2 linked regions of the Struthio camelus genome follow. The protein of the gene in region 1 binds, or shares a complex with, the protein of each later gene. Links are inferred from orthologs where the notes say so. Each region holds a gene or a part of one and is shown on either strand. Other genes may lie near its edges.

Region 1 (14,203 bases):
GTAGTACCCGGCGTCGGCCGCCTGCACGTCTGCGATGGTCATCTCGCCGCTGGGGGCCACCGAGAAGCGGCCCGCCGGCTGTGGGGGCTGGCTGGGGAACAGCAGGATCTGACGGGAAAGGCAGGGGAAAAAAAAAGCCTCGGAAAGCCAAGGGAAAAGCGGAGGCGCCCTGGAGAGGCTGGCGGGCCGCGCTGCCCTACCTGGCTGCCTTCCTTCTGCCAAAACACAGCTGGCGGCGGGTTGCCCTTGGTCTCGCACTGGAAAGTCGCTGTCTGGCCCTGGGCTACGGTCTGGTTGCGAGGTCCCGTCACCAGCTGCGGGGGGACTGGAGTGAAGGGGAAAAAAGGGGCAAAAGCAAAAAAGCAAAGGAAAAGGCATAAGCAGCTCGGAGCAGGGGGGGCAGGTTGGCGGCGAAGGTGCCACGGCGGCTCCTCACCGTGCACGCTGAGGGTGGCCGAGGCCTCCGCCCTGCCCACGCTGTTCTCGGCCACGCAGGTGTAGGTGCCCTCGTCCGCTGCCGTCACCCGGCTGATGCGCAGCACGTTGTCGTCCCGCACCTCCCACCTGCAGCAAGAGAGGCCCCGCGAGCCCACAACGCCGGCGCCCAGCGCGCCCCGGAGATGCCAGCACGACGTTGGGATGTCAAGGGTGGCACAGACGCCGGGACGCCGCGGGGGTGCTGGCACCAGGTGAGGATGCCGGAAGGCAGCAAGGATGCTGGCTGCGGCACGGGTGCCAGCAAACGGCGAGGATGCCAGATGTGGCATGGATGCTTGCACATGGCAAGGATGCTGGGTGTAGCATGGGTGCTGGATGCAGCATAAACGCTGGAGGCAGCAAGGATGCTGGATGCAGCCCGGATGCTGGCATGTGGTAAGGATGCCCGGTGCAACAGCACGGATGCTGGCACACAGCAAAGATGCCGAATGCGGCACAGATGCTGGATGCAGCAAGGATGCCGGCACGTGACAAGGATGCTGGATGCAGTGAGGATGCCAGCACACGGCACAGATGTGGGATGCAGCATGGATGTTGGCACACGGCAAGGACACCGGCACCAGGTAAGGGTGCCAGCTGCAGCGTGGATGCTGGCATGCAGCAGGGGTGCCAGCACACCACAAGGATGCTGGATGCAGCATGGATACTGCGTGCAGTAAGGATGCCAGCATGCAGCAAGGATGCTGTGTGCAGCAAGGGTGCCAGATGTGGCACGGACACTGCCATTTGGCAAGGATGCTGGACGCAGCAAGGGTGCTGGCTGGCAGCACGGATGCTGGCTGCAGCACAGACATTGGATACAGCACAGATGCTGCATGCAGCACAGACACTGCCATTCGGCAAGGATGCTGGATGCAATGTGGATGCTGGATGCAGCACAGATGCCAGCTGCAGCACGGATGATGGATGCAGCACGGATGTCAGCTGCAGCATGGATGCCGGATGCAGCACGGATGCTGGATGCAGCACAGATGCCGGATGCAGCACAGATGCCGGCATGTGACAAGGATGCCAGCTGCAGCGTGGACACCGCCATGCAGCAACCTCCATGCCGGCGTCCCCCCCGACCCAGCCCCCTCTCCTTACCTTCCCGGCGGCAGCTCACCATCGTCCTTGCGCCAGCGGGCGGCAGGCGGCGGGTCGCCCAGCACCTCGCAGGCGAACTCCACCGTCGCCTCGGCCAGCACGGCCCGGCTGAGCGGCCGCTTGCTGAAGACGGGGCGCTCTGCGGGGAGGCCTCCGTGAGCCCCGCCAAGGGACCCGCCTGCGCCGGCGTTCCCCCCCCGCCCCGCTGCCAGCCCCTTCCCCACGCACCGAGGACCACCAGCTCGGCCGGCTCGCTGTCCCGCTCCCCCACCATGTTGGTGGCCACGCAGACGTAGGCGCCGGCGTCGCTTTTGCGCGTGCTGGCCATCATCAGCTTCCCGCCTCGGATCTGCCAGGAGGGAGGAGAGGGAGGGTAATGGGGAGGGGTGGCGGCGGGGGGCACGAACCCCCCCCCCACCCCGGTGCCTCACCGTGATGCGCTCGTCCCTGTCGCTGAGCCGGGCGCCGTTTTTCTTCCAGGAGACGCTGGGCTCGGGGTGGCCGCGGGGAGGGACGCACTCCAGGACGGCCGGCTCGCCCGCCGCCACCACCACGTCGCCAGGCGCCTGGCGGAAATCGTCCCGCAGCACTGCCGGGCAGGGAAGGCAGGGGGCTGCGATTTCCCCGGGAACCCCCCTCCTCTCGGAGCCGAGCGCAAGCAGGGAGATTATCGCCCCGTAAGGCGCAATAAGCCCTGACGATGCCGCCTTAAGCAATGGCACGCGTAACCGAGGGGCGTTAAGCAAGCTGGCTCCCTTGCAAAGCCCTGAAAAACCACGGCGGGGATGCTGCAGGGGGGAAACATGTCAAATCCGGACACTTTAACCCAACGTGGGTCCCGTAAACCCTTGGCAAGGAGATTTTCCGTCTGCTCCCCACTGGCACGGCCTCTCCGGGGCAGGATTGGGCTATAAAAAGGCCATTTGAGGTTTCCAAGGCACTCCGAATTCCCAATTTGATACTAAAATCCTGAATCAGCCCCGCATCTGACCCCGACCCTCGTCCTTAAGAGACCCAGGACTGAGCAGGACTGACTCGGCGCCCCCGAGAGCCGCGGCGGGGGGACGAGGGAGCAGCACCCAGGAAGCCAGGACGCCTGGGCCCCTCGGGCTCCCCGGGGAGGTGGTAGGGGCAAAAGGGCACCGGGCAGGATCAGCCCCCACCGGCCAAGCCCGGGAGGGGAAGTTGCCGTCCCGGCGGGCGAAAGCCCCGCTGAACCGAATCGGTACCTGTCGCAGCTCCCGGAGCGGCAGGCCCATCACCGTGGCCTCAGGCCTGCCCAACGGGGAGGGGGGACTAACCGGCCACTTCGAGGGAGGCGTTCCTGCTGGTGGCTTCGCCCAGGTAGTTCCTGGCCACGCAGGCGTAGACGCCCTCGTCGGGCTTGCTCCTGCGGCCGTGCACGACGCGGAGGAAGAAGAGGGAGCCGCCGGGCAGGAGGGTGCGGTGCGAGCGGGGGTCTTCGCGGTCCGTCTCCACCCGCTCGCCGTCCTTGTACCACTCGACGGCGGGCGTGGGGCGGCCCTCCGCCTTGCAGCTGAGCGTGGCCGCCTCGCCCTTGGGGACGATGAGGTCGGCCGGGTGCTCCACGATGCGGGGCGCCGCGTCCTCCGGCGCCGGCTGGGAGCCTGGCGTGGGGGGGGCGAGGCGGCAGGGTGGGTGCTGGGGGTGCGGGAGGTGGCACCCGGCGGTGGTCTGCAGCACGGGGTTGGGAAGGGGCGGGGGGGCGCCTCGGCGGGGTGGACGCCAGGAGGTAAGATGAAGTGTGGCCGGGCCTCAGCCCGGTGGGGCACTGCGGGCGGCCTCGCTGCTGGGGTCAGGGCCAGGGCCCCCCACGCTGCGCTGCAGCCCCCCAGGGTCCTTACGTGGGGGGGAGAGGGAAGAGGGGGACCCTGGGGTGGGGAGGAGAAGGAAGGGGGGGGCCGGGGCCCTTTTTGGGGGGGGACAACACCCTGTCTGCCACCCCAGGGTTTTGGCTGAACGGCACCCTGCAAACACACACCCATCACCAGCATCACAACACGGCCCGGTCTCAGCACCCCATCCCCAAACTGGCGCTCCACCCTCCCACGCCAGGCAATTAAACTGGAGGTTAAAGAAAAGCCACGTCCCAAGTTTTACAGCCCCGGGGAGCTGCGTTTTCGGGGATTCGGGAGGTTTCCAAGCCAGACGTTAACTTTTTGCCCCTGCAGATATCGCCCTCCAGGCGAGCAGCGCCTCGCTTTGGCAACCCGTCGGTAACGTTGGCCGGCTGCAAGGCGCCCTGCAGCTGGGAGCCCTGGAGCCGAGAGCAGGTCGAAACGGCCCTTTGGGGTTTTTTGGGGGGAGGTTTAGGGTTTTTTTACACCAATTCCCTTCTGTGGCTCTTCCCACCCATTTTTAGCAGCATTGCTCTGGATCGTTTTCTCTGAAAATAACCCGTTGTCAGAGCACCGTTCCTGCCCCGCAGCAGACATTAAGGTTTTGCAGTCAGGAGACAGCAAATAAGTCATCGTGCTGCCAGGGCCACCAAGACATGGTCTATCATGTCCCCACAGCCACCATGACATGGTCCATCATGTCCCCAGTGCCACCCATAGCATGGTCCATCGTGTCCCCACTGCCACTCATGGCATGGTCCATCCTGTCAGCAGTGTCACCACGACATGGTCCATCATGTCCCCAGAGCCACCACGGCATGGTCCATCCTGTCCCCAGTACACCCATGGCATGGTCCGTTGTGTCCCCAGTGCCACCACAGCATAGCGTGGCATATCCCAAGTGCCACCCACGGCACGCTCCCTCATGTCCCCAGCTCCCCAGCGCCACCCACCGCATGGCCCATCACATTCCCCAGTGCCACCTGTGTCACCGCCCATCCCGTCCCCAGCGCCACCCACGGCGCGTGTCCCCGCGCCGGTCCTGCAGTTCGGCCTGCGGGCGCTGAGCGTCACTGTCGTGCCAGGGACCGGCTGCCGGGCACACGCACAGGCACACGCGTGCCCGCGCACACACGCACATGTCCCACCTCTGGGGACACGCGTGTACCCAGGCACAGGCATGCACGCACCCGCGACGCACGGGACGGTCCCTTTCCCGGTGCCGGACCCCCAGCACCCGCCAGCACCCAGGGAGCCACTGCCACCTGCCCAGCACTGCTGTCCCCAACCCCCTAGTGTCCCCCCCCAAACCCAGCTCCCGGAGTCGATGGATCACAGCCATCACCCCCCCAGCCCCGATTTGGCGCCGCAGGATGGCCCAACCCCAAATAAGCTTTCCCACGTCAGGCCACAGGTGGCCGCGGGGACAGTGGGTGGCCGCAGGGACGGGGAAACCCCCCTCACCCCCTGCCAGCCCTGGCACCGCAGGGCGCCCGGCAGCTCATTAAGAAAGCGCTCGGCACACAGCACGGGAAAGTTCATGCCAGCAGGAGATGTGGCAGGCCGTGCACCCCATCCCCGTCTTCATCCCCATCCTCTTCCCCACTGGGCTTCGGCCCCCCTGCTTCTCCCCACGGCCACCTCGCCTGGATGAACGACCCCAAAGCTGTGGCCGGCCACTGCGATTTAGGGTCTGTGGGGATGGAGACTGCCAGGAGCATCTCTCCGCTGCGGGAGGGATGCGGTTGCCATGGAGGCAGCATCCTCGGGATGCTGCGTGGTACCCGGGCGGCGATTCCCCCCGCGGCTTGGGGACGCTCGGAGCGGGACAGCGGCGGGTCCGAGGCACTGCTGGCCTCGCGTTCCCCCACCGCAGCTGGGCACGGCCGGGGCCACAGCTGAACCCAGCGGCTAATTGGGACAAGCGGGTGCCCCCTCGGGTGCCCAGCTCCTGCGCCAGCACCTGGCCAGCCGGAGTGGATGGGGGCTGCTGGTGGCTGGGCAAGGGGGGAGGGTTTGGGGGCTGCGATCCTCCCTCCTCCCCCGTGATTGAGCACCTGAATTTAGGGTAAAATTCAAGTTCGGGAAGAGACTAAAGGAGGCACGATGAGCTCCAGAAGTGCTCAAAATGCAGCCTCCGAGTTGGACGGTCCCCCTCACTTCGCAGCTAGCAGGGGGCTCCCCGGCTTTTCCCCCGAAAGTGGGGTGTGGGGAGGGGAGGGAGTTAGGGCATCACCCCGTTGCCAGGCTCACCGCCCTCCCCGTGCCGTGGCAGCACCCTCCCTCCTCCGGTGGGGAGCAGGGGTGGCCCCCTCGCACCCTGAAAGCGCCAGGCTGCCCCCCGGCTCGGAAACACGGGGAGGGACGCGGTTCAGGGCTGCCAGCAAGCTCGGGAAGTTGGGGCTGGATCCGGCTCCGTGCTACCTCACGGGTGGGAAACACGGGACTGGCCCGGCTCGGGGCTAACCCCCCCGGCTGGGGAAGTTGGGGCTGGATCCAGCTCGGGAAGTTAGGGCTGAACCCGAGTTTAGCCCCGACGTGGGGCTAAACTCCCCCAGATCGGAATCCGGGGGCTGGACTCGCCTCGAGAAGATGGGGCTGGCCCCGGCGTGGGGCTAAAACCCCCCGGACTGGAGAAGTTGGGGCTGGATCCAGCTCGGGAAGACGGAGCTGGACCCGGCTCGGAGCTGCCCGCCGGCTCGGCACTGCCGGCCAGCTCGGGAAGACGAGGCTGTCCGCGGCTCCGTGCTACGGACACGGGTGGGAAACATGGGACTGGCCCGGCTCGGGGCTAACCCCCCCGGCTGGGGAAGTTAGGGCTGAACCCGACATGGGGCTACACCCCCGGCTCGGAAACGCGGGGCTGGACCCGGCTCGGGAAGATGAGGCTGGATCCGACGTGGGGCTAAAACCGTCCCAGCTCGGGAAGGCAGGACCGGGAAGTTGGGGCTGGACCCGGCTCGGGAAGATGAAGCTGGATCCGACGTGAGGCTAAACCCCCCCGGCTCGGGAAGTTGGGGTTGGACCCGGCTCGGGAAGTTGGGGTTGGACCCGGCTCGGGAAGTTGGGGTTGGACCCGGCTTGGGAAGTTGGGGTTGGACCCGGCTCGGGAAGTTGGGGTTGGACCCGGCTTGGGAAGTTGGGGTTGGACCCGGCTCGGGAAGTTGGGGTTGGATCCGGCTTGGGAAGTTGGGGTTGGACCCGACTCGGGAAGTTGGGGTTACACCCGGCTCGGGAAGTTGGGGCTGGCCCCGACGTGGGGCTAAACCCTCCCGGCTCGGGAAGTTGAGGCTGGACCAGACGTGGGGCTAAACCCTCCTGGCTCGGGAAGATGGGACTGGACCCGGCTCGGGAAGTTGGGGCTGGCCCCGACGTGCGGCTAAACCCTCCCGGCTCGGGAAGTTGGGGCTGGACCCGGCTCGGGAAGATGGGGCCGGAGCCGGCCGGGGGGGACCCCGGGCCGGAGCCGGCTGGGGGCTGCCGGCAGGCTCGGGGGGCGGCGGGCGCGTACCGTCGAGCGGCGCGGTGAGGTTGCGCAGGTCGAGGGCGGCCAGGCTGGCGTTGAGGCCGAGCAGCAGCTCGGAGGAGTTGGACATCTCGGCCGCCAGCGAGTCGGCGAAGAGGTTCATCTGCAGCAGCGTCTTGAGCAGGTAGCGCAGCATGGTGGCTCCGCGCCGCCCGCTGCCCGGCGCCGCCGCGCTGCGCTGCGCTGCCCGGCTCGGCTCGGCTCGGCTCGGCTCGGCTCGGCTCGGCTCGGCTCGGCTCGGCCCGGCTCAGCTCGGCTCGGCCCGCGGCGCCGCCTCCGGGGCCGGCGGCGAGCGGGGGCGCGGCCAGCGCGGAGCGGGGGGGGGGGGGGGGGGGGGGGGAGCGGCGGGGGCAGAGGGCGGAGGGGAGGGGAGGGGGCACCCCTGCGGGGGGCAATCTTAGGGGGAACAGGGGTGAGGGGCTGGGGGGAACCTGGGGGACAGCCTTAGGGGGCACGGGGGGGGACTGGGGGTAACTAGGGGGGGAGAGAGGTGGGGAACACCCTTAGGGGGTACAGGGGAAGGGGCTAGGAGTAACTGGAGGGGGGGGACAGGGCCAGGGGGGCTGGGAGTAACCCCTGTAGTGGTCCAAGAATGGGGTTGGGGGGCCTGGGCATCCCCCTTGGGGGGGCACAGGGATGGGTGGCTCCGGGAAGGGGGCACCCTCCAAAGCCATTTCTGCACCTTGCACCCCCAATGCGTGCCGGGGCGCTCAGGAGATGATTGCGCTCCTGCTCCACTCCAGCAGTCCTGCCAGCACTGGTGGCGGCGGCGCTCAGCGGCCGTTCCTGTGTCTCCCCCCCCAGGCCCACCACGTTCCCTGCTACGGGAAGAAAAGAGGCTGGTTTGGGGCATACTCAATGCCCCGGCATTGCCGCCCCCGAATCCCCCGCTGGTGCCCCTCTCCTCCCTCGTTAAAGGCTGGCCGCAATCAGTGCGCTTCACTGACGGCGGCCCCGCGTGCCTCCATCCGTGGATTAACACCGAGGCCAGGACAGGAGAGTGGGGGCAAAAGAGCCACTGGAGGGAAAGATGGAAAATTAGGGGGTTTTTGGTGGGGGTGCAGGGTTTTATCCTGCAGGGACCACCGCCTCCCAGCATCGCGTTAGGAAAAGCCCCCTGAGTTTCTCGCTGCCAATTAGCCGTTTTATTAACACACTGGGCTACTGTGTGAAGCAATGCGCCTTTCGCAGGCGGCACGCCACTAATTAGAGCCGTGGCCAGGTGCCCTCCACTGCCGGGCTGCTCATTAAACCAGCGCTAACGACCTGCACATCTGGATGGGCTGAAAGAGCCGTCGGACGCCTGGATGGCGGTGAGCAGGGCTCCGGGGCCGGGTGCACATCTGGGGCGGCACGCGGGCACGCGCCTGCTGGCACCGCCGGCTTTGAGAGGTGCATAAGGGGGGCTCGCAGCTGTGTGCACATCTGGAGACAAGGCCTTGCGGAGCTGCTGGAACATCTGGAGCAGAGAAACCCCCCCCCCGCCACACACACACCTGGGAGTGCAGGGGGCAACGTAGGCCTGCACATCTGGGTGTAGGTGATGCTCTGCATGCACAGGCTTGGCTATTGTGGCACATCTGGAGACACGGACACCTGGCACGCGCACATCTGGATGCAGGTCATGCTCTGCATGCACATTCAGGGTCAGGGGAGCCTCTGCACGCCAACACATCTGGCTGCACGTGGCGTTCTGGGGGTGCACACATCTGGAGGCAAGGGCCGCTCCGCAGTCGCGCACATCTGGAGGGGTCAGCGCTCTCAGCCCTGCTCTCCGTGCCTCAACCTCCTCGGAGCTTCACTCACATCCCTCTGCCTCCCGCCGAATCTCCTGGCTCTGGGTGCCGCGGTGAGCGCCTAGCTCCGTATCTGGGCATCTCCTGCCCCATGTATTATTCATGCTCCCTCTTCTTCCTGGCTAAGGGAAGATAGCAAATAAATATTAATTTAAGAGCAGCACAAAGCTTTTCTGTTTCTCCTGCTGAGGTTTCAGCTTCCCGGGGACTCCTGGTAGGAGAAGGCAGAAATAAATTACCTGCAAAAACCCAGGTTATCAAATAAATATCGAAACAATTATTCAGGATGATAATTTTGAAAGCAACATCGGCATCGTGCTGGACTATCAAACGCCACGGCGTTTCCCTACGCCGCCGCGGAACACAGCGCTCCCTTGGGCTGAAGGATCCAGGCATCCTGCCTCGACCCTAGCGGAGGCGACAGAGCCTTTTCCGGAGGGGCTGGGAGATGGCTGCTGAATTACGGGGGAATGCTGCCGGGGCGCTGGCTTTTGCAGGCCACTTGGCATAGCGAAAAGCTGTGATTTGTGCGAGGCCGAGCGCTGGGGCTCCCCGGAGCTCTTTTTGGGGACCTCAAGGCCGAAAACTGCCTTGATCAACTCCAGTCCCCTCTTTCACCACAGGGCGATTTAAGGAGCTCTGAAGTGGGCTTATTGCAAACCTGGTGCCATGCCACATCCCCCCCCTCCGGCTCGGTGCCCGGCACCCTTTAAAGGGAGTGCTTGGAAGAGAGGGGAGGTGTTTTCACACCGCCCCAGGCCCATCTACTGCAGCCAGTGACATCCTCCGTGTCCATCCCGCACTGTCCCGCTTGCCCGAGGCCTGAGGCTGGGTGATGGGCTCCCGGGTCCCAGCCCCAAAGCATCCTCCAGGCTCTGGCTGGGCGAGCGGAGCTGGGAAAAGGAGACAAAGGAGCCGTTAATATTCCCCCTCACCCCAATTTGTCCCGTTAATCGGCTCCGCAAACAGAGAGCTGGGCCGAGGGCTGGGTGATCGCCTCGCCTCTTCGTTAGGAGATTTATTATCGCTGGCGTCGCGGCTAATTGTCCTTTTATTTGGCGATTAGCTGTTGTTTGCTCAGGGTTTCCGCCGAGGAGGCGAGCGGCTCCCGGCCGCTGCTCGGCACAGCCCAAAATCACCAGCGTGTCGGCACAGGCCGGGCTAATCCCCCTTAATCCCCCCGAGTTTTTTAATCTGGTTATGCTGAAGAGGGGCTCGCCACCCTCGTTCCCACTTGACTGGAGTTTTTTGGGTGATGGGGGAGCTCAGCGCCAGGGGATTCCTGCACAGAGCCAGGCAGGGCCAGGATGGACCATGCCACTCCGACATCCCCTTAACTCTGCCCAGCTGGTGGGTACAAAAACAGGGAGATGGCGACGGTGTGCTGTGCCAAGCCAGATCTTGTTCCTCCCCTCGCATCACTCTCGGCTCAAAATTCCCCAGAAGAGGGGGAATTCCTCCCCCCCACCCCGGAGGGCAGCCGGCTCCTTCCACAGACGCAGGTGGAGAAATCGAGGCACAGAGCAACGAAGGGGCTGGCGGGGACCCAGCCGGGATGGGAGCAAAGTAACGACAAGCGACAAGGCATTTGTATGGGCAAACGAGCGGCTGGGAAGCCCCGAGCCTCGCCGTGCCGATGCCGGGGATGTAAATCCCCCTCGGCTCAGCTATTAGCATATCCCCGGGGAGCCCCCCGAGCCACTCGCCATCGACTCCATCGGCTCAGCTGGCGCAAAATTCGGCGCTTTGAATATTTATACACTCCAGGCTGGGCCCAGCCGCGCAGGGCAAATCGCACTGGCCCCGTTTCGGAGGAAAACGGCCCCAGTTTCAGCAAGAGGAGGAGGAGGACAGGAGGTGGCTGTATGGGTACATGGGGTCTGGGCGATGACCTGTTTCTTGCGATGACCTTGCAGGCTGGAAGATGCTGAGATTTTTTTTAGAAGAGGGATGCTGAGATTTTCTATAAGTGGGATGCCGGAGGTTTCAGAAGAGGGATGTCGGGTTGTTTCAGAAGAGGGATGCTGAGATTTTCTAGAGGAGAGATGCCGGGATGTTTCAGAAGAGGGATGCTGAGATTTTCTAGAGGAGAGATGCCGGGATGTTTCAGAACAGGGATGCTGAGATTTTCTAGAGGAGAGATGCTGGGGTGTTTCAGAAGAGGGATGCTGAGATTTTCTAGAGGAGAGATGCCGGGGTGTTTCAGAAGAGGGATGCTGAGATTTTCTAAAAGAGGGATGCTGAGATTTTCTAGAAGAGGGATGCTGGGGTTTTTAGAGGACCGATTTTGGGACGTCTCAGTCTGGCGCAGCCTGGAAGGTGGCAGGGCTGAGGTCTCCCAGCGGGGCATCCCAGCCTGGCTCATTACCACTACCTTCGGGAAGCCCATGTGTTCTCGAGATGAGCCACTCGGGGTATATTAACATCCCATTTCCCCCTCTTTAATAGAGACTTTGCCCAGCTCATTTATCAGCCGGGCCTCCCTCCAGGGCCGGCGGAGCTCGGCAGCTGGGTCACGGCACGAGGCGAGAGCCGCTCGGCCCCGGAGGAAGCCCGGTGCCGGGTTTAACAGGTAGTGGCTCATGTGCGACTGGCTGGTTTGGGGCCGCCGCATCATTGGGAAAGGCGCTATCAAAGCTGTGCTTAATTGGGTGGAAGGCTTGTTTGCGCGGCCGCTAATGGGGGATCAGAGGGCCGGGGACCGGCGGCTGACGGCCGTACAAAGGCGCCCAATTACTTGCTTGTCTGCATTATGTATTAACCCATCTGGGGCCGCGAGATTGCCTCTGAAAGGCAGACAAAGGCGGAGGCGTGCCGGCGGCCGCGCGCCCAGCGAACCCGTCCGCGGCCGGGCCAGCTGGAGGAGTTCGTGCGTGCACGCGTGCGCGGCCACCCGAGCTCGCCCCCCTCCACGTGGAGCTGCCCCGGCCAGCCTTCCTAAATATTGCATGGCCACCGCAGGCATCAAGCGGCTTTCAGCTGCTTTCATCAGCCCGCCGGGGCCCGCAGGAGAGAAAGCCGCTTGGTTCCCGCGCTTGGCAGGCGCGGGCGGTTTAATTGCCATCGCCCGCGCTAAAGTCCCTTAGTGCTTTTCGGCAGCACGCACCCTTGCAACGGGTGGTGAAATCGGGGTCAATGCTAGTCGGGGGATAGCTGATTACTTGCGCGCTTGGCTTTTCTTTTTCTTTTTGTTTCGTTTTGCTAATTGTTCGTTAGCTTTATTTAATCTGAAGCGAGGCAGCGGGCCACCGCCATCGGCCTGGGCGCCTGCCGGGAGCATCCTCAGCCCCGCTGGCCTTCTCCTGAGGCCCTGCAGAGCATCTCACCACGCCGGGGGCTGAGATAGTGTTACATTTATTTCCCCACCTGCTGTCTTGAGCCCCCCCCCGCCAGCTGAGAACGGCTGCCTTTCGGTGCACCGGTGAACGCCTGCAGGCTCGGGAAGACTAACCCAGCCTGAGGCGGCTCAGCAGCCAAGGCACCTTCCTTGCATCTCCGTCGCCTGGGATTCACAGCTGACGGCCCAGGAAACCAAGTTTTTCCTCCCTTTGCTTGCCATTCCCTTTGAAACGCCGCACTGGGAGGTCAAATATTTCCCAGCTGCAAAGTCGTTTTTAATAGACGAACCGGCAGCTTTAGCCTTCGTGAAAAAATAAAGCGCCGCCAGTCGCTCCAGCAGGTCACTAGACGAGCCGAAGCGCGCCTCCACCGCTCCTTCTGCACCGGCATTTCCGCCCCTATCGCTCCTACCCGTCTCGGCCCCTTAATTAAATTAATCTCCTCCGATTTGTACCGGGGAAAGAAAAGAGCGATTCTCGCAGGCACGAGGCGCCGGTACGGTTTGATCCGATGCGAGGCGAATATTAATTCAGCCGCAGGCAGCGTGCATCTCATCAGCGATTCCTCCTCTGCCCCGTGGCATCTTGAAGGGCTCTGCAAAAGTAATCAGGGGTTTGGGGGTTTTTTGGTCGGTTCCCCCTCCCCCCCCCTTTTTAGCAGAGTTTTAAAATGAAATCCCAGGAAAAAAGATTAGGAAATGATAATCAGAGGATTTAAGCGGAGGTCGCCTGCCTCCCACGCAGGGGGGTGAGACGGTGGCCGTCGACGAGCACGAATCGGGTCGACTTTGCCGCCGCCGTGCCAGGGCTTCGGGGTGCGGGGTGTTTTAGTCGGAAAAGCCATTTTCCGCCAAGGCAAACGTATTTTTCCTCCGCTCTGTCTTCCCGTTTCGGGGCGTAGAAGGGTCGGGATGGCACACAGGGACGCAAGCGCCTGTGCGGCCGCCTAGGAGCGTTTGGCCCCACCGGCATCAAATCACCGCGTTTCACTCGCGAGCGGCCAAATAGCCCCTAATGGAGACGCGGGGCTGCATCCCAATCAGCCGCTCTGGGTAAATAATGAATTTTTCAATACCTAATTAACCGTTAACCTCATCTGCATGCCTCGGCCGCGCCGCATGCCTGGGATTAGCAGGAGCCCCTCTAATTGGCTTCTGATTAGCTCCCTAACAGGGGTCTCTCCAGCAGGCAAATAGCCGCCAGGGGCGCCCAGCGCCGCAGAGGGCGCCCAGCTCCCTCGCTGCCCCCCGGGGCGTGCAGACCCCCCCTTTTTTTTTTTTTTGCCTACCCGGAGCCGTTTTCGGGCTCCCCCCCTGCCCAGGAAGAGGCCTTTAATATATTCCGACAGCAGCGGCTCATGAAATTTGTAACGCCGCAATCTGGGTAATCCCTGTAATTAGAATCGTATAATTACGCTGCTGATTGCTCCCGGCCCGCTCTCGCGGCCAGCTGCGGTTGCGGCGGGCACGGGAGCGCGGCGGCCGCCCGCGCTAATCCCGCCGGAGGAGCCGGCTCGCTCCCGTTTGTTTAGCCGAGCCGGAGCCGAAAAACGGCATGATGCGGGTGCCGGGTGGCAGAGTTTTGGGGGGCGTTTTGAGGGTATCGGTTGGCGTGGGAGTGGATTTTGGGGGGATAACGGTGCAGGGGGGAGCGCGGGAACCTGGCGGAGGGAGAGCGCGGGAAGCAGCTGATGTCCCCGTCCCTGGCGGGATGCCGGGAGCAGGGGGACGCGCGGAGGAGTCCCTCGCCCCGGCCCAAACTCTCCCTTCATTAACGTCCCCCCTCCCCCAAAACCTCATTAATCAAAGGCGGGATGAAACGAGCCCTCTGCTCCCGGCCGCTTTAATTGCGAGCTCGGCGGGAGAGCGGCCTCGGCGCACACGCGCGTGCGGGCGGCCCCCCCCGGCCAGGAATGGGGGGGGGGTTGTCTGTCCCCCCCCACCCAGTCCTGCTTCTCATCCGTGCACCGAGCGCGGCAGGTCTCAAGGGAGCGAGGAGGCCGGGTTTCCTGCTCGCCCCGCTGCGTTTTGGGGCTGAGGCGAGGGGTTTTTTTTGGGGGGGGGGGGGCGTTGTTGGGGATCTGGGTGACCGCAGGTTGTT
Region 2 (15,014 bases), on another chromosome or scaffold:
CCTCCCTGGGACTTAAGCTGCCAGTGAAGGATATAGAACTGGGGACCCAGTGCTAATAGTTATTACACTGGTGGCAATAACATTGTCAGCCTTTTTGGATACTTTTTTCCAGCATTCATTTCCCAGCATTTCTTCTCTTCTTTCTCACAGTGCCTGAAAGTGGTTGCTTAGAAAGTAGGACTTACCGTCGCATGCCATAGTGAAGAACTAGCTAGACCACTTTTGGGTGTACGTGATGCCCGTGACATATTCTGTGCCCTGTGAAATAGCAAAAGCATGTTACACAAGAAGCTGCATCCCAGTTTTTGTCAGGTGATGTAAAAATAAGCAAATAAAAAAAAAATCTTTTAAGGGAATTTAAAGGGATGAGCAAAACTTAACCAATTTTGCACAAGTTTCCTTGTAACAGGTAGCCGTGATGGGACTAGGATTTTGTTAGCAGTGAAACCAAAAGGAAGGTCAGCCCTTTAACGGGATGCAAGCGAGGCAAGAGGGGGGTCTCCAGGCCAGGCTGGGGTCTTCTGCAGCTCTGGCGTGGATCCAGAGCGAGGCCATCCGTGTCAGCAGAGTTGCTCTGTCTACACTGATGATGGCAGGACGTGGCTCACGGTGTCTGCCCGCTGCTTTTATAAGCAAGGATCATACGGACTTTGAGGACTCGTTACCTAAGCAAGGGGAGAGCCTGTAAGGCTTACACTAGTATGTGGAATCAAACAGAAACACAATGATCCCATTTGATCGTTTTGAGTAGAAAAATACAAGCAAACTTTAAAATAATCACTTGAGATTGGAACTAAACTGTCCCTGAGCCTGGAAAACGGTTTTGAAATAGTGCCAAACTGAATGGGCATCACAGTTTTAAGTACTTTCATATGTTTCTATTAATAATTTGATATTTGCCTTTTCAATCAAAAATGCCTCCTTTATACCAAGTGTCGAAAACCTTGCTCCATTGGCAAACTGCTTATACAGTAAGTGCAAGCACAGTTTTATCCACTTAACTCCAAAACTCTGAACATAGTTTTCCTTGTTTCTCTGCTTTTGTTTGCAGTATCTCCTCAAGAAGCCATCATATAATTTGTGCCTAATTTTGTATTCTTACAGTGGTAAGTGTAGTCTAGTTACCACCTGACAACAGTTATTAGAAGTTAGATGTGCTGTTCAACTTTGTGACTCCCCAGTCATTCTCCTGTAAACATCTTTATATAACCTTTAGATGTATTCTTCTCTTTCAACCAATGGGGAAATAGCAGAACCCCAGTTGTCTATATATTATATATATAGCACGTAAATTCTTCTACAAAGCAGTGTTCTCTCTGGAATGTACGTAGTTTATCTTTTCTTTTTCTTTCTTTCTTTTTTTTTTTTTGCATTTAAAGTGTTTTCATTAAAGAAAAAACTAAAAAAACCAACAACTAACCACTATAATCATCCACATGGATGCAACATTAGATGCACAAAATGTAATGGTGGTGGAAGAGGACAATTTAGTAGATGGCCATTGCATTGCAATAGGACTTTCTAAATCATTACCATTTAGAAAACAGATATATATGGCGATATGAGTGTTAGACTTAAATAGTTATATTACCTAGTAAAGCTCTAGTAAAAATAGAGCTTTTAAGAATCAATTTATTTAACTGAATAGCAAATTAGCCCAATTTATTGTAAATGCACTAGAATGAGGGAGAAAAATATATCTTCAATAATTGGCAAAAACGCAACCTTTACTATCTTGTTATAGCCTATACACACACACATATATGATATTTTTCAACAGTGATCAGTGTTCACGTAGTGTGTGCTAGTGATGTTGTATGTCCCTATAAGTATCTTATCAATCCGTGTAGAGATGGTGAGCTTACAGTAGTTTAGCCTGTTTTTTCCCTCCCCGCCCACACTATAGTAGTAGCCGATAAATGTTCTTTCCTTTCAGGGAGCTGTTTCTATCCCGTTCTTTTTTGTCTGTCCGTCTGTCTGTACATTACAGGGTCTCAGGTAACTCTTCAGTTAACGTGTGTCCGTAGATCAGTAGACATAGTGTTTTCATCCTGTCGAAGAAAACAAAACAAAAAACCTAAACCTTAATGCAACTCTTCCACAATTTATTAACTTCCTTTCTGTGTGCGTGTGTGTGCGCGTATATATATATGTATATTAAATATATTAATCATTTTGCTGAACTTCCTCTTCCACGGGGGAACTTAGTGTTGCCAGTCAGAGGCACTGCTGGAGACGTTTAATCCTCAGGCGAGGACAGATTTTGCAAGGCTTGTGCCCCAGGGGCCCCGCCAGCGCCCGCCTGGCGCAGCAGCACCGCTCGGACCTCTGCAAGCATCGCTGCCTTAAAGCTGCGCCGGCTTCTTTTGGCTTTGCCAGCCCTTTTCACAAGGGGAGCTGCTATTCTCCCCTCTCCTGGGTTGTTGTTTTCCTGGCAGAGCAGGTTGGAGGCGCCACACTCTGCTTGATGCGATGAAGCTGTATAAAGACAAGGTGGCCATTGACGCCCGTGTGGCAGTGAGGCTGAGCAGACTGTGCTGCGCAGGAAAATGAATTGCAGGAGTTCTTTCCACCTGGAAAGGTGAAGAAAGGAACCTAAACCAGCTAGCACCATCTAGTGGGAATTGCATATTTTTGTCAGGATGAATAGCTTTAGGTGTCTACCGTTATCATCTAAAGTCTTGGTTTGATTTTTGGAGTCCAATCCTGTTTTGCTGGGATTAAAAAAAACAAAACAAAAAAAAAAACAAAAAACCAAGCCCCAAAGTGTTTATAGGCTTTGTTCTTAAAACAAACAAACAAACAAACACACACTCAAATCACTTAATAGTTCTGAATCCTTTCCCTTCCCAATTTGTTATCTCAGGATGTGTTTGAACCAGGATTAACTAACTGCGGTAAAATTGCCTTGGTGTAAGCATGTCAATTACTGTCTATTTAAGTGCAGAAGGGGTGTCATTTGGAGGAATACTGCTGGGTTAGCACATCTTTCCTTTGGCTTGGATTACTAAAACAGAATGCATGTGAAAAATTGAATTGCTTTCCATGATTTAGGTAATTAATCTGCCTGCATTTCATTTAGGTGTTGTTCCTGTGCCTGTGGAAGTCATTAGCACAGGATTAGGCCTGACTCTGAGACTCTGAAAACAGGTGATAGGTTTTGATTTTGTTTTAGTTGATTTTATCTTCAGCTTTAACGTCTAAACCTGGGCTTGCAAAGACATTTGGAGTGGGGAAGAAATGAGTACAAAAATCACAGAAGAATTGAAGTTTTTCACCGTAAATTAAAAGTGGAAAATTTTCACACCAGGCTTTTAAAAAGTATTTTACTCGTCAAATCTGAACGTTGAGATTAAATTAACCAGCAGTGTCCTCTTTAAATGAGAAGTAATCTTGCAGTTTGGGAATGTACTTCATTTATCATATTCTAGAAAAGTTTGCATGTACTTTGATAGTTTTCTAAAAATAAATTTAGTATCTAAGTAAATACCAGTAAAGGTCTTTTAAAAAGGAGGGGAAAAAGCCATATTAGTAAAAATGTGATGTACGTACTTGCAGATCTATCTTGTGAGTAAAAAATGTTCAAATTTGGTGAGAACTACTTCTGTTGCATATTTTTTCTTTGAAATGAAATTGGATTTTTGAATGAGTTGAGATGCACTATTGTATGCATTAAAAATTATACTTAATGCAAATGCTTGCCATCTTCAAATTCTTTGGGGTCTTCCTAGCATTTTTAATATATAGTGTTCAAAATCTGTTTTTCAGCTAACCATGGCAGCACTTTGTTTCCAAAAGAAGGGTTTAACAAAATGATCCTTAACTGAGAAAGACTTGGGTTGTCTTTACATGATATTTTGGTTTAGTCAAAGCATTCTTTTGACTAGGTTCTGCTCCAGTGACCACATTAGACGTGCCTCAGCACTGAAGATTGCTTCCAATACACTGTCGCTATCTCTTACCATCAAAATCCAAATCTCAATTTATTGAGATCATCTTTGGTCATCTTTTTGAGTATGTGTGTAGTTGTACGGATAATATAATTCCTTGCTGTCTGTGATAAAGTAATTGCTTATTTGTGGCAGATGTTGCTTTTCTGTTGGTTTCTTATTCTGCAACTCCACTTCTTGCAATCAAAGTTGCAGACAGACTTGTATGGCTTGGGGGTTGCAGGCTGCGCAGCTACGGCAAGTGCTGTCCCAGGAACTGTCTCAGTTTTGCTAATGATGCTGTCATGTCTGGCATGATTATGAGACACTTACTTCTTGGTTTGAAGTTAAATGGTGTGCATGTAAGGTGTTTGTGAAATAATCAGAGCTTGATCTTCCAGAGGGGCTCAGGTTGCTGACTGGAAAGGGGAGGGTTAGGGGTATTTGTGATTTCTGCCTTTGTCACCCTCAGGCAGGCTGTCACCAAAGAGAAACGGTTTTCCCGGTGGGTTTAGCTTAAAATGTGAGAACCAGGCTGGACCTTATTGCTTGCAATATTATTATTTGCCCATAACGTTTTAAGGACATCTTCAGGTAACCATTTGCCTTATAGGGACCTTCCATTGTTGGGAAAATACAGATTGATGGAAAAAAATGTTGTTATCTGTCATTTATATTATGTAGGGTACCTTGTAAGGTAGATGCTTAGCTGGTATAAATTGTCGCAGCTTTGTTTGGAGCTGTGACAATTTACACCAGCTGAGAATTTACACCCTGTGTCCTGTGGCACTTTATTACAGACCTATCGCTGATGGGTTAAATCTTAATTACTTGCGTAATGTCATATATAAATATATATATATATATATTTACAGGCATTCTATGGGGTACTGCTGCCTATGGATAAAGATTTGTACCCTAACAAGGTCATTATAATTTTTTCATTAGCTGTATGTGCAGAAGATATATTATGTTACAAAGGATGCATCATACATATCTCATGTAGTGCATATTATAATGCTGAATGTTGTTCATTTAAGAAGTCATTATTCTTGAGGCCCTACCTCAGATTTTGTATTTATGTGTAAAAATGCAATTTATTGTATTATATATTTGCCTATTATATTTGAATGTGATAAATTAAAATTATTCAATAATGTATGGGCTCTAAAGACTCTAAATAAATGTCCAGTGCTTAAAACATAAAATATGTTGACAGTGTGTGGTGAACAGAACTTCTCTTTTTCGACTCTCTCCTTCCCCACCCAATATACACCACAAACATCATTCTTACTTAACACACAGCCTTAAGGTATCTGCAGAATTGATCCATTTGATTGTTAGAAACCTTGAGCAGCAACTGGAAACAGCCCTCTTGGGAAATGGAGATATTGCACAGCTGCAGCAACAAATATCAATTAAATGGTTGGATTCTTAACTATCAGGATGCTCTGTAGCTTGCTGAATAATAGATTACTCATCAGAGGACCAGCTGAATTTGCTTGAATCCTTTTAATCCCATCAATTCAGTCACTCCAAAGGTGGTTGAACTGTTAAAGGCAAGAGAGGTTCATATCAGAGGGAGATGAAAATGAAAGGTGGAAGGGAAGGTGCAAGCTAAGAATGCAAATGGAAGCACTACTGCAGCTTTCAGTGAAAGCTGAGTTTTTGCAGTGTGGTGAGCGCAAGGCCGAGCAGCACGTGTGCCGTCCTAAGCACGTGGTGAGCAGGCTCCCCGCTTACCAGCACCTGAGTAGCAAAGCGACACTGATCCAGCCTGCTTCGCAGCTGGAAAGGCAGTGCTTTCCTCAAACACAATAGCTGAAGTGCCATATCTGATCACAAAGTGGTGTCAAGCAGATAGGCGAACAAAACAGATATTAGCACTCTGGCAAGAGCGTGAGAGCAGTTCCAGGCAAGGGCCTCATCTCGGAGGTGGCCGAAGAGTGATTCGGCAGGATTTGCCAGCAGTTCCCAAAGGAAGCGGTACGTTGGTCCGGCTGTAAAGCGCGTTGCTCTGAGAGGAGCTACGCATGCGCACGTGCAGGAGACAGCAGGACCTAATGATGGGGGACTGCGATACTTCTTGCGCACGTAAGACACGTTTCATCCTGGAGAAGCCTGCAGTTCTCAGCAAGCGCTCTCCCTGTCCCGAGAGGCAGGTGAGTATCTCCGGCCCCTTTGCAGGAGGCAAAGCTGAGGCATGTTAAATTTGTCCCTTCTCCAAAGTCAGCCAATGTGAGTCAGTGATACAACACATTGATTTGGGGAGTAAGAGAGAGGCGGCTGCTGTCACCATTAGGCACTATTGCTTTAAATCTTTAAACCCATGAGAACAGGTAAAAATCCATCCCATTTAAACTTGCTTGTATGGTATCATCCAGGCCGTGCTTTCAACCAGTGTACGCTACATAAATGACTAAAAGATAGGCACATATTTTATTGCAATGCTAACAGATGCATTTAGTTTGAAATAATTTTACTCTTTTGGGTGTTAAAATTGCCATGGTCAAAGTGAAGACCCCAGGGCACATTTTGTACCAACCTTGTGGATTAATCAGTTGTAAAGTTTGATTTAGGCTTCACAGTCTTCAAACAGCAGCTAACTATGCAGTTAGGAATTAGGAAAAGCAATAGATACTGCTCCATCACTGAATATTCGAGTTGAGAAATGCTCTCCCTGTGTTAAGGCCTCATTCAGAGCCGTTTGCTGGCTACTTCCTTAGCACGGATGCTTTCAGCCTGTTGGACTGAGCCGACAGTCCCTTACAACTATTCATCAGTTGGTAGGAGACAGGTTTTTTTCTTGCCTTCAGGGCTGCGCTATTAGTACTTAGGTGTAAACGCTTCTGTTAATTATTGCCCTCTACTGGCTGCAAAGTAAAATTTGCCCGTAAGTATTTCTTGCCTGTAAGTATCCCTTTGAGAGTGGCTTTCACAGGATGCGAGCCTTACTACTTGTGAAAGAAAAAATTTTCCGTTCTAAGAGTTACAAGGTGTTTTCCAGGTGGAAGTGCTGTCGTCTCTCCAGCATTTGTGGTTCAGCTGGTAGCTGAGTCCATTCCTACCTTCAGCTACACTTAAAAGTTAACACTTAGCGCTTTTGATTGCCTTTCATCCAAGGAATGTGAACAGCCTTACAACAACTCTGAGTGATACTGGGGCCTAATCAAAAATATTTCATCAGACTTCAAAATGCCACAAGCTTCGTGGCTGAAAGGACTAACAGTTTAACACCACACAGTTGGCAACATCACAATGATTTAGGTCAAAAATCAGGAAGCACGCAACACCCGACTGAGAGTGCAAGAAATCTTTCACAAGCATATTATCTGAGCTGAAATCCAGCTAGTTTGCCGGGACTAACACTTTAGTCTTGAGAAAGTGCCACCAGATATTTTTTTAATTGCTATGAACATTCAGGAGCACAGTTCTCATTCTTATCTGAATGTCATGCCTTCCAGCTATTTATATTTCCAACACGATCGTATCAGAATATCGGATTTTCTTTGCACTGACAAAGGAAGATAAGTGGTTGCCATACATTATTAGTGGAAGTGTGGGAATGGTGTTGGCTGGGAGAATGTCTTTTTTTTTTTGTCCATCCCGTCTATCTTTTTTCCAGTATGAAAAGATGAAAATACTTCTATAATTATTGGTTCTGTCCCCAGAATATCCCCTCTGCACAGAGCTGGACTATAGGAGCCCCCTCTTTGGGACCAGCTCCGTTCAGAGATCTTCCTGCCCAGCTGCCTCTAATACTGCCTGCAGTGTCCCTGGGCTCCTCGAAGGTTTCTGCTCAACACGAGAACAAGTCAGGCACGATGAGCGCGTTGGCTAGCCACGACACTGGTCAGAGTGTGTTCGAAGCTGCGTTGGAGAGCTGATAATCCAGTGCAAGTTTTTGCATGTGCCCACAGTAATTTTTTAAAATATCTTTTTATACAGATTTAGGTTAAGCTAATTATGGATCTAGGTAAGAATCTGTGGGTGATAGGTTTACATTGTGACTCCATTAAAGACTCCACACCAGTTTAACTTAAAATCTGAAACTTTGATTGAATTAGATTTAATTTTGAGTTTACATAGACTCTGGTTTTATTACTAGGTAAGCACAAATATAGCTAAACTAACATGAATAGGATGTATAGCCACATTTCACAGAAAGAAATCTCTCCCTAAATTAGAGAGTAAATACCAGTCAGACTAATGATTTTATTAGGATGGGATTAAAAGGTATGTCCTCACTTGCTGAGGTACCATTACCTCCTTTTGTTGTTACTATGTGTACATAGCATATATACCTATACATGTATATGTATAAAAATATGTAGACTTGTATACCATGTATATATACCCCCCCATGCCCTATGGGTAAGAACGGTGCCAATAGCCCAGCACCCTAAATAAAAGTAAGAATGTATTTATGAGTTCCTGAGATGTTTTGGAGTAACTTCCCCCCTCCTGAGTTTTCCCAGCATGTATCCCTTGTGTGCAGCCAGGACCAGCTGTTTTCAGAGATCTTACTAAATAAGTAATTAGGCAACCAACTTATACGCTTTGCTCATGCTATTGTTGCTAAAGTAAAGGTGTGCGAACGCAAACTCTCCTTAGATTAGCGTGTTTTCCTGGTTTCATCCTAACTTTGTCCAAACGTAAAGTTTATTATTTTGAATTTAAGATGACCTGAATTTTGCACAGAACCAGACCATGGGATGACGAGGGGAAGAGGCAGGAGGAGAATCCTCTAGCTTTGCCGGGGAAATGGCTTGGTCTGAGCCAAGCAAAGCCAGGTCAGCTGCATCTCACCTGCCCCTCTTTACTGAAAGCAGCGTTTCATGTGGGCCCCAGCTGTCCTATTTCAAATTTAAGTCAGGTTTTCTACTGGTGGGAATTGCATATAATCAGTGTGTGGGGTGGTTTCTCGTCATGGATTAGTCCAAATTAAAGGCTGGCGGTAGCAAATATTTGAAGAGAGAATTTAAAGCACCTGTGAAAGATTCTCAAGTGGTTTACAAGTACAGACTTCACCCCTATTTGATGCTTGGGAGATGTGAAGGAAGGAGCAGCTAAGTGACTTGAGCAAGGACGCAGAAGCAGCCGGTGGAAGGGTACAGGTTTCCCTGTTACGTGACCAAACCCGATTTTCGCTTGTACCAGGCCTGAATTATTACTGAGGCTAAAATAGTTACCAAAGGCAGAGCCTCGCTGGTTTTATGCCAAGAGCGAGGCCAAAGCGGGCGCTGTTCAAACGCGGCTCCGCGGCCCGTGGCGGCGCGGGACGCGCTCCCCCGCTGCGCTCCCCACGCGCCCCCCCCGCCCCCGCGCGGGTCCCCGCGGCCGGGTGCGCCCGGCGCTGCGGCAGCGCGGCGGCTCCGCTGCGGGCGGGCAGCGGCCGGGCGGCGGCGCTGGCGAGGCCCGGGGGGGCCGCGCGTCGCGGCGGGGGCGGCCCGGCGGCGGTGGCGGCGGCGGGGGGCGGGCGGGGAGCCCCCGCCGCGGGGGCGTCGGGGCCGCGCCTGGGCAGCGGGCGGAGCCGCCGCCGCCGCCTGCCGGAGCCGCTCCGCGAGTCGGAGGCGCGGCGCGGCTCGGCTCGGCTCGGCAGCCGGCAGGCGCAGCCCGGCCGCGCCGATGGGGCTCCTCCTGCTCCTCTGGGCGTGTGCGGCCGGCGCAGGTGAGGGTCCGCCGCCGGGACGGGGCGGGCGGGACGCGGAGCGGATGCTGGCGGGGCCGAAACTTTCCCGGTGCTGGGGCTGAGGCCGGGGCGGCGGCGCTGCCCTGCCCTGCCGGGAGCCACCGCGGCCCCTGCGCGGCTGCTGGGGCGGCGGCGGCGCAGCGGGCGCGGGCTCTGCGCGGGCGCAGGGCCGCCGTGCAAAGTTTCCCGCAAGCGGCGGGCGGCGCGGGGCTGGGCGCGGCGGGGCGCGCTGCCGCTGCGGGGAGCCGCGGCGCGGGCGGCAGCCGGGCGGAAATGCGCGGTGGCCGCTGGCGCTGCGCGGCCGAGGAGCCGCTGCGCTTCCCCGGCGGCGGCGGCAGCAGCAGCAGCGGCTTTGTTCTCCCTGGCCGGCCTGGGGCAGCGCTCCCTCGGCGGTGCCCGTGCGCCTTCCCAGGGGCGTCGCGATTACCGCAGATACGTAGGTGTCACTGTTCTTAAATTATAACTGTTCGTGCGGTAATTACTACCTCATCGAAAATCACATAGGTTTGGCACAGCGATAGCTGGGGGGGGGAATGCCGTCTGTCCTGATCACAGCGGTGCTACCACCAGTAGTGCACGTTCTCACGTGAAATGGTCACTGAGACGAACCCAAACTCCTGCGTTTGGCATTGCAAAGCCCCTCGGAAAGTTCTTTGTGTGCAACAATTGCCACTGAGGAGCCAGCGAAGAGCCTGTCGCAGAGCCAGCTTCTCCCCCTTGGAGGGATTGCACATGGCCGTGGGGAAATGACTAGGTTGTCTCGAGCGTGCTTTTACTGAAAGTTTCTCTATCCCAAAACATGCAGTGTGTAACATGTCAAGGAAATCATAGATACACCGCATACGTTGCATGGCTGCACAATTTGCTAGATGGAGCATGGCACGACTGCTGGTGCTTGGGTGCCTGCCGGTGATAACAGCACAAGCGGAGGATGCAAGCTATCAGAGCCATAAGGCAGCGTTAATTTCTTTTAGGGATTTCCTGGTGACATCATTCATAATTATATGGTTTAATCCTCTAACCTACTACAGCGCCTTCAGTTCACATTGGGCCGAATCCACAAAGTGCTGAGATGATTTTTTCCCCCCTCCCCTCCCCTCCCCTCCCCCCCCAACCTGGCTGAGACTGTTGGAGTCTTGCTTGTGTAAGTCACTGATTTAAGGGGAATGACCTGCTTGCTTTAAATAGGAGTTAAAAGCTGTATTGGTCAGGATCGGGCCCCAGCTTTGTACAGTTCTCCACTAAGAGCATACAGGTTGATGATGGTTAATTTTTGCTTCAGAAAGAAATGGTATTTCCAGCTTCTTCCAGTGAAGAGAGGCAGCACAGCATGCTAGATGCGAGTGCAGTTGATATGCCTCTGGTATCTTTCTGACTGCGGGAGACCACACGGGAAAGGAGACTTGGTTATCATACTGAAGCTGCTGATTTGTTGTTTATTAATTATTAACCAGGCTTTTGAGTGCCTGCGTGCAGTTTGAAGAGCCAGCACAAGAAGATGACTAGGAATTTAAAGCAGTGTAGGTTCTTGCTAAAGAGTTGCTGTGATGCTAGAAATAGTCTCCTCTTTGGAAAGCATCCTAAAGGCTGGAAGGGGGCACACTGAAGCTGGCGGAGCTACAGTGATCTGTACTTGTTGAGCCTCAGGTATTCAGGCTATAATAAACAGTTTTAATAGGGCAGTGAGGCTGTGGTGATTTAAGGGGGTGCGTGTATTTGTTAGATGTGGGTTCAGTCCTGACCCTGTTCAGTCACTGGCAGCACTTCCACTGACTTCAGTGGGGTCAAGATTTGTCTTACTGGATATAGTTTATCCTTCCCATTGAACAAGCTTTAGGACCTATTCAACCTCCCTTCGTGTCAGTAGGTTTTTGCTTAGAATAAGGGACGCATACTTCAATCCTGGCAGAGGCAGTGGGGTCTTTCTTTCTTTCCTGGCAGGTAATTTCACACAATTTACAGTGTGCTTCTCTTCTGAACAAAAACCTTAAAAGAAATAAGTCCTTCTGTTTGTCTCCTAAAAATATCTTTGCTCTCATGTTCTTAGCCTGAAAGGCTCTGTCCTGTATGTATTTTATAAATATATATATGTATATACATGTGTCTGTATATACACACACACACTCTCTCTCTCTCTCTCTCTATATATATATATGCACGCGTATATATATAAAGTGTGTGTGTGTGTGTCTGAGGGTTGTAGGATGCTGCCCTTGCCCTAGAAGAGTTGTTGTGGGTTAAAAATAAGCAGATGCGTTCTCTCTTGTTGGTCAGAGGCAGGTGTACTAGAAGAAAGTAGTCACTGTTTGATGTCGGGTGTAGCAGGATGGGTACATTTCTTCAGGAGCATCTCAGCTGTGTGTGAGGGGTTTGAGGCTAGCAGAGCTGCTGGCTGTGTGTTGGGGGCCCATGTTTCACCGGGAGGTGAGGGGGCTCTTGGTCTGTCAGCACGCACGTTGTGCAGCTGCACGTGCTCATTCAGCGTCTGAGCGTTTAGCAGGGATGAAGCTGGAGACAGTACTGATGCCTGTTGTTGTTGAGTGTCTGGGAAGTTTTTACCTTTGGAGATGTTTATCCAGGTTCATATTGTCTCCTTTTAATTTTCTACAAAAAGGTACTTATCCCCATGTTATTATGTGTACGTGCTCACTTTGATATGACAGCACTCTTGGAGGCTCAGCTCTGCCAGATGCAGAGAGATCTTAATTTTCATTGTAGATTAAGGTTGAAAGAGACCTTCTAAAGCTGCTTTTCGGTATTTCTTAATGCTCTGCATCTTGTGCAATAATATCCTGCTTCATTAGCACAACATATCATCCTAAGGAATTTTAATACCTGAGTAAAGAAAAGGAAAGTGCTGGGGCACAGGTGACTTATAAGTAGAACTTGTAACTTCGCCTTGTTCGTTCTGTACACCTCAGTAGTTTCTCAGAGCTTTTCAGAGACTCAGACTAGAATATTTGCTGCCTAACTGATCCAGAAGCACAGTTCTGAAATAACAAATCAATCAATTTAAACCTGAATATTGAGTCCACTCAGTGGAAATCAGTCTGGATGTGCTTTGCAGGGGAGATCCTTGCCCCCCACACAAGTCAGTGGAAGTTTTACCATTGACTTCAGCTGTCTCAGGATTTTTCGCTCTTAGTGCCTGTTCCCACTTCTAATGATGTTAGTGGAAAAAATTGTGAGGAAAGTGCTTGCATTCTGTGAGAGTTTTTTGATCCACGTCCCAGGCACAGATTTCATGTAACATCTGTTGCTATGTAGAGCGACAGACCCTTGTCAGACTGGCCTTTTCCTGTCCCTAGGAAACTAGCAATTTGTGAGTGCCTGGTCTTTTCCTGGGCGTGAGCCGTTTTCAAATTTCAGGTTTAGATTTGTGCTTCTGCACCTTAGACCAGGAGGTGCTACTTTAGGTGAATGAATGTCTGTTATGCATAGGTAGGTGGTGGCACACTTCAGGCCCTGGCTGTGCTGAAATACAGCAGAGGCACTTTGTCTGCAATATCAAACTGTTGTGTGAAATCACCCTGGGGCCCTTGGATTACAGGATGGCCTCCTTCGCCCTGCTACCATATCTCCTTCAGGGTCATTTTGTCCAGTTCGGAAAATAAATTGTGTTTAGGTTATGAGCTGTGGGACCCGATCTATTAGTCACAGCTAGGTATGAAATGTGAGAAGAATTTCCAGGCCTCACGTCTCCTTGGAAATCGTGTAGCCAATAGATGAATGTTGCTAATCTCTTTCATCTTTTCACATAGGTGGTTATGCTTTTATTTATTTATAACTCTTCTGCTGTATAAAGGTGCTGGATTAATGTAACAATTTTATAATGTTTTAACTTGTGTGCAGTAAAATCTGTGGAAAATAAATAGTTTGATTGAAATAACTGGGGAAAAAAAATCTCTCCTGCAGCAGAGTTACTGTCTTCTAACTAATTACTGTAGAGTGTGTGTGTGTGTGCACATACTAGAAATGACTGCACTAGCTATTCTTCTCCATTCTTTTCATTACCTGGTTTGAAATAAAAATTGATCTAACTCTGCCTTTCTCTGGCTCTGCCTCTCGCAGCTGTAGGATTTGGAATGGATCCTGACTTACAGATTGATATCATCACAGAACTGGATCTTGTGAATACAACCCTTGGGGTGACACAAGTGTCGGGACTGCACAATGCCAGCAAAGCATTTTTATTCCAAGGTAAAACAAGCCTCCTCAAGTCTCTTATCCCACTTCAGTCTGCATGAGTTCATGGGAGCTTTGATGCCTAACTGATTCCCTGTAATGGTGCTCTTACCTAACTGCTATTTTCTCTTTTTTTTTTTTTCTTTTTTTTTTTTTTTTGAAATAGTCTGTGTTACTCTGCTGAAATATATATGATATTTTGTTTTAATATACTGTCAGGTCATTGAGCTTCAAGATCTCTTGGGAAGTGTTTTTGGGTAGGTTTCAACACTCTCCAAAATTTTTTCTAACTAAATGTGTCAAAGTAGTCCCTGGGCATGGACTCGGTTGTATCCTTGGGTACTTTCTCTCTGCCCTTGTACTCATGCACAGGCAGCTGGAGGTTATGGAGGTAGATGAGAAAGCAGCTAATGTGTTGACACTGCTTAGTAACAAGTAGCAAGTCTTTCCTCAACTTTGAGAGAGCTGCTGAAGTGAGAAAATAGGATAGTATTGCCTTTCACTGTCCAAGCCAATAACAGATGCAGAGCAAGTCACATTGCACAGAGCAAGTCAAGTTGTAATGTGCTTTTTAAAATTTCAATATCCAAGGATAATGCTGGTGAAGTGTTTTAAAATGGAAGTTTTTTGTTACGTTTTGTTTTGAAGTGAGCAGTGAGTGAAGTTCTGGACAAATTGGGATGTTTTTGCATTGACTTAAATGAGGCCCAGATTGAGAGAGAGCCATGAGGTAGAAGAGCTGAGTATAGTATGTTTCTTAAGATTAACATGCTCATTAAAGCATAGTAGGGAACGTTTTTGTTGTGGAGGCTTCCTATGTTTTTTTCCCTTTATTGTGCTTTTACTGCACATTAAAGTGAGTAGGTTAGGGTCTTATTTTTTGGTATCTGTCCGCTTCTCTTGGAGGCAGAAGATTATGATCTCATTTAGTTTTATTTCAGTATCTGCATTACTGACATTATTGTAAGTAATAAAAGAAGCAGGTCTGTAATCTTAGTTTATTCTTTACCTGGACAAGAGGATGGATCAGTTCAGGTGCTGGTAGCAGAGGGGCTTCTGGAGACCACCTCAGAATTTGTTAGTCATCCTTCCCATGTCTTACGCTATGTTGAGTCAAATATTTAATTTTTACTGATTCCTAGATCAAGGTCTGGAATAAAGGCATTAAATTAGTCATTTAAAAATATAAATCGTTTTGCATCTGATAC

The links.
Region 2: the proteins of ROBO3 (region 1) and NELL1 are in contact, whole or in part, in a crystal structure (PDB 6POL), measured with the Homo sapiens proteins. The link is inferred for Struthio camelus from reciprocal best matches to the Homo sapiens genes ROBO3 and NELL1. Residues at the interface, in NP_071765.2 of Homo sapiens: Ser553, Pro555, Val590, Glu592, Phe594, Pro596, Asn600, Thr601, Trp602, Thr604, Ile624, Leu626, Arg630, Gly633, Ala634, Trp635, Gly636, Leu637, Ser638, Glu639, Pro646, Val647, Arg648; in NP_006148.2 of Homo sapiens: Ala440, Lys441, Met442, His443, Tyr444, His446, Tyr458, Arg468, Val469, Asp470, Asp471, Phe472, Ser473, Asp478, Ile492, Cys493, Thr494, Asn495, Thr503, Cys504, Lys505, Pro506.

Annotation. Positions count from the first base shown.
Region 1 is NC_090963.1:8,804,310-8,818,512, reverse strand, and holds the start of ROBO3 (roundabout homolog 3), read right to left. Parts: upstream 7,166-14,203; 5' UTR 7,106-7,165; coding exon 6,955-7,105; intron 3,213-6,954; coding exon 2,886-3,212; intron 2,174-2,885; coding exon 2,016-2,173; intron 1,934-2,015; coding exon 1,813-1,933; intron 1,724-1,812; coding exon 1,585-1,723; intron 565-1,584; coding exon 437-564; intron 326-436; coding exon 201-325; intron 109-200; coding exon 1-108. UniProt on the Homo sapiens protein: Receptor involved in axon guidance during development. Acts as a multifunctional regulator of pathfinding that simultaneously mediates NELL2 repulsion, inhibits SLIT repulsion, and facilitates Netrin-1/NTN1 attraction.
Region 2 is NC_090946.1:31,297,714-31,312,727, reverse strand, and holds the start of NELL1 (protein kinase C-binding protein NELL1), read left to right. Parts: upstream 1-9,449; 5' UTR 9,450-9,557; coding exon 9,558-9,600; intron 9,601-13,692; coding exon 13,693-13,821; intron 13,822-15,014. Other genes in the region: SLC6A5 (sodium- and chloride-dependent glycine transporter 2), read left to right, coding at 1-56. UniProt on the Homo sapiens protein: Plays a role in the control of cell growth and differentiation. Promotes osteoblast cell differentiation and terminal mineralization.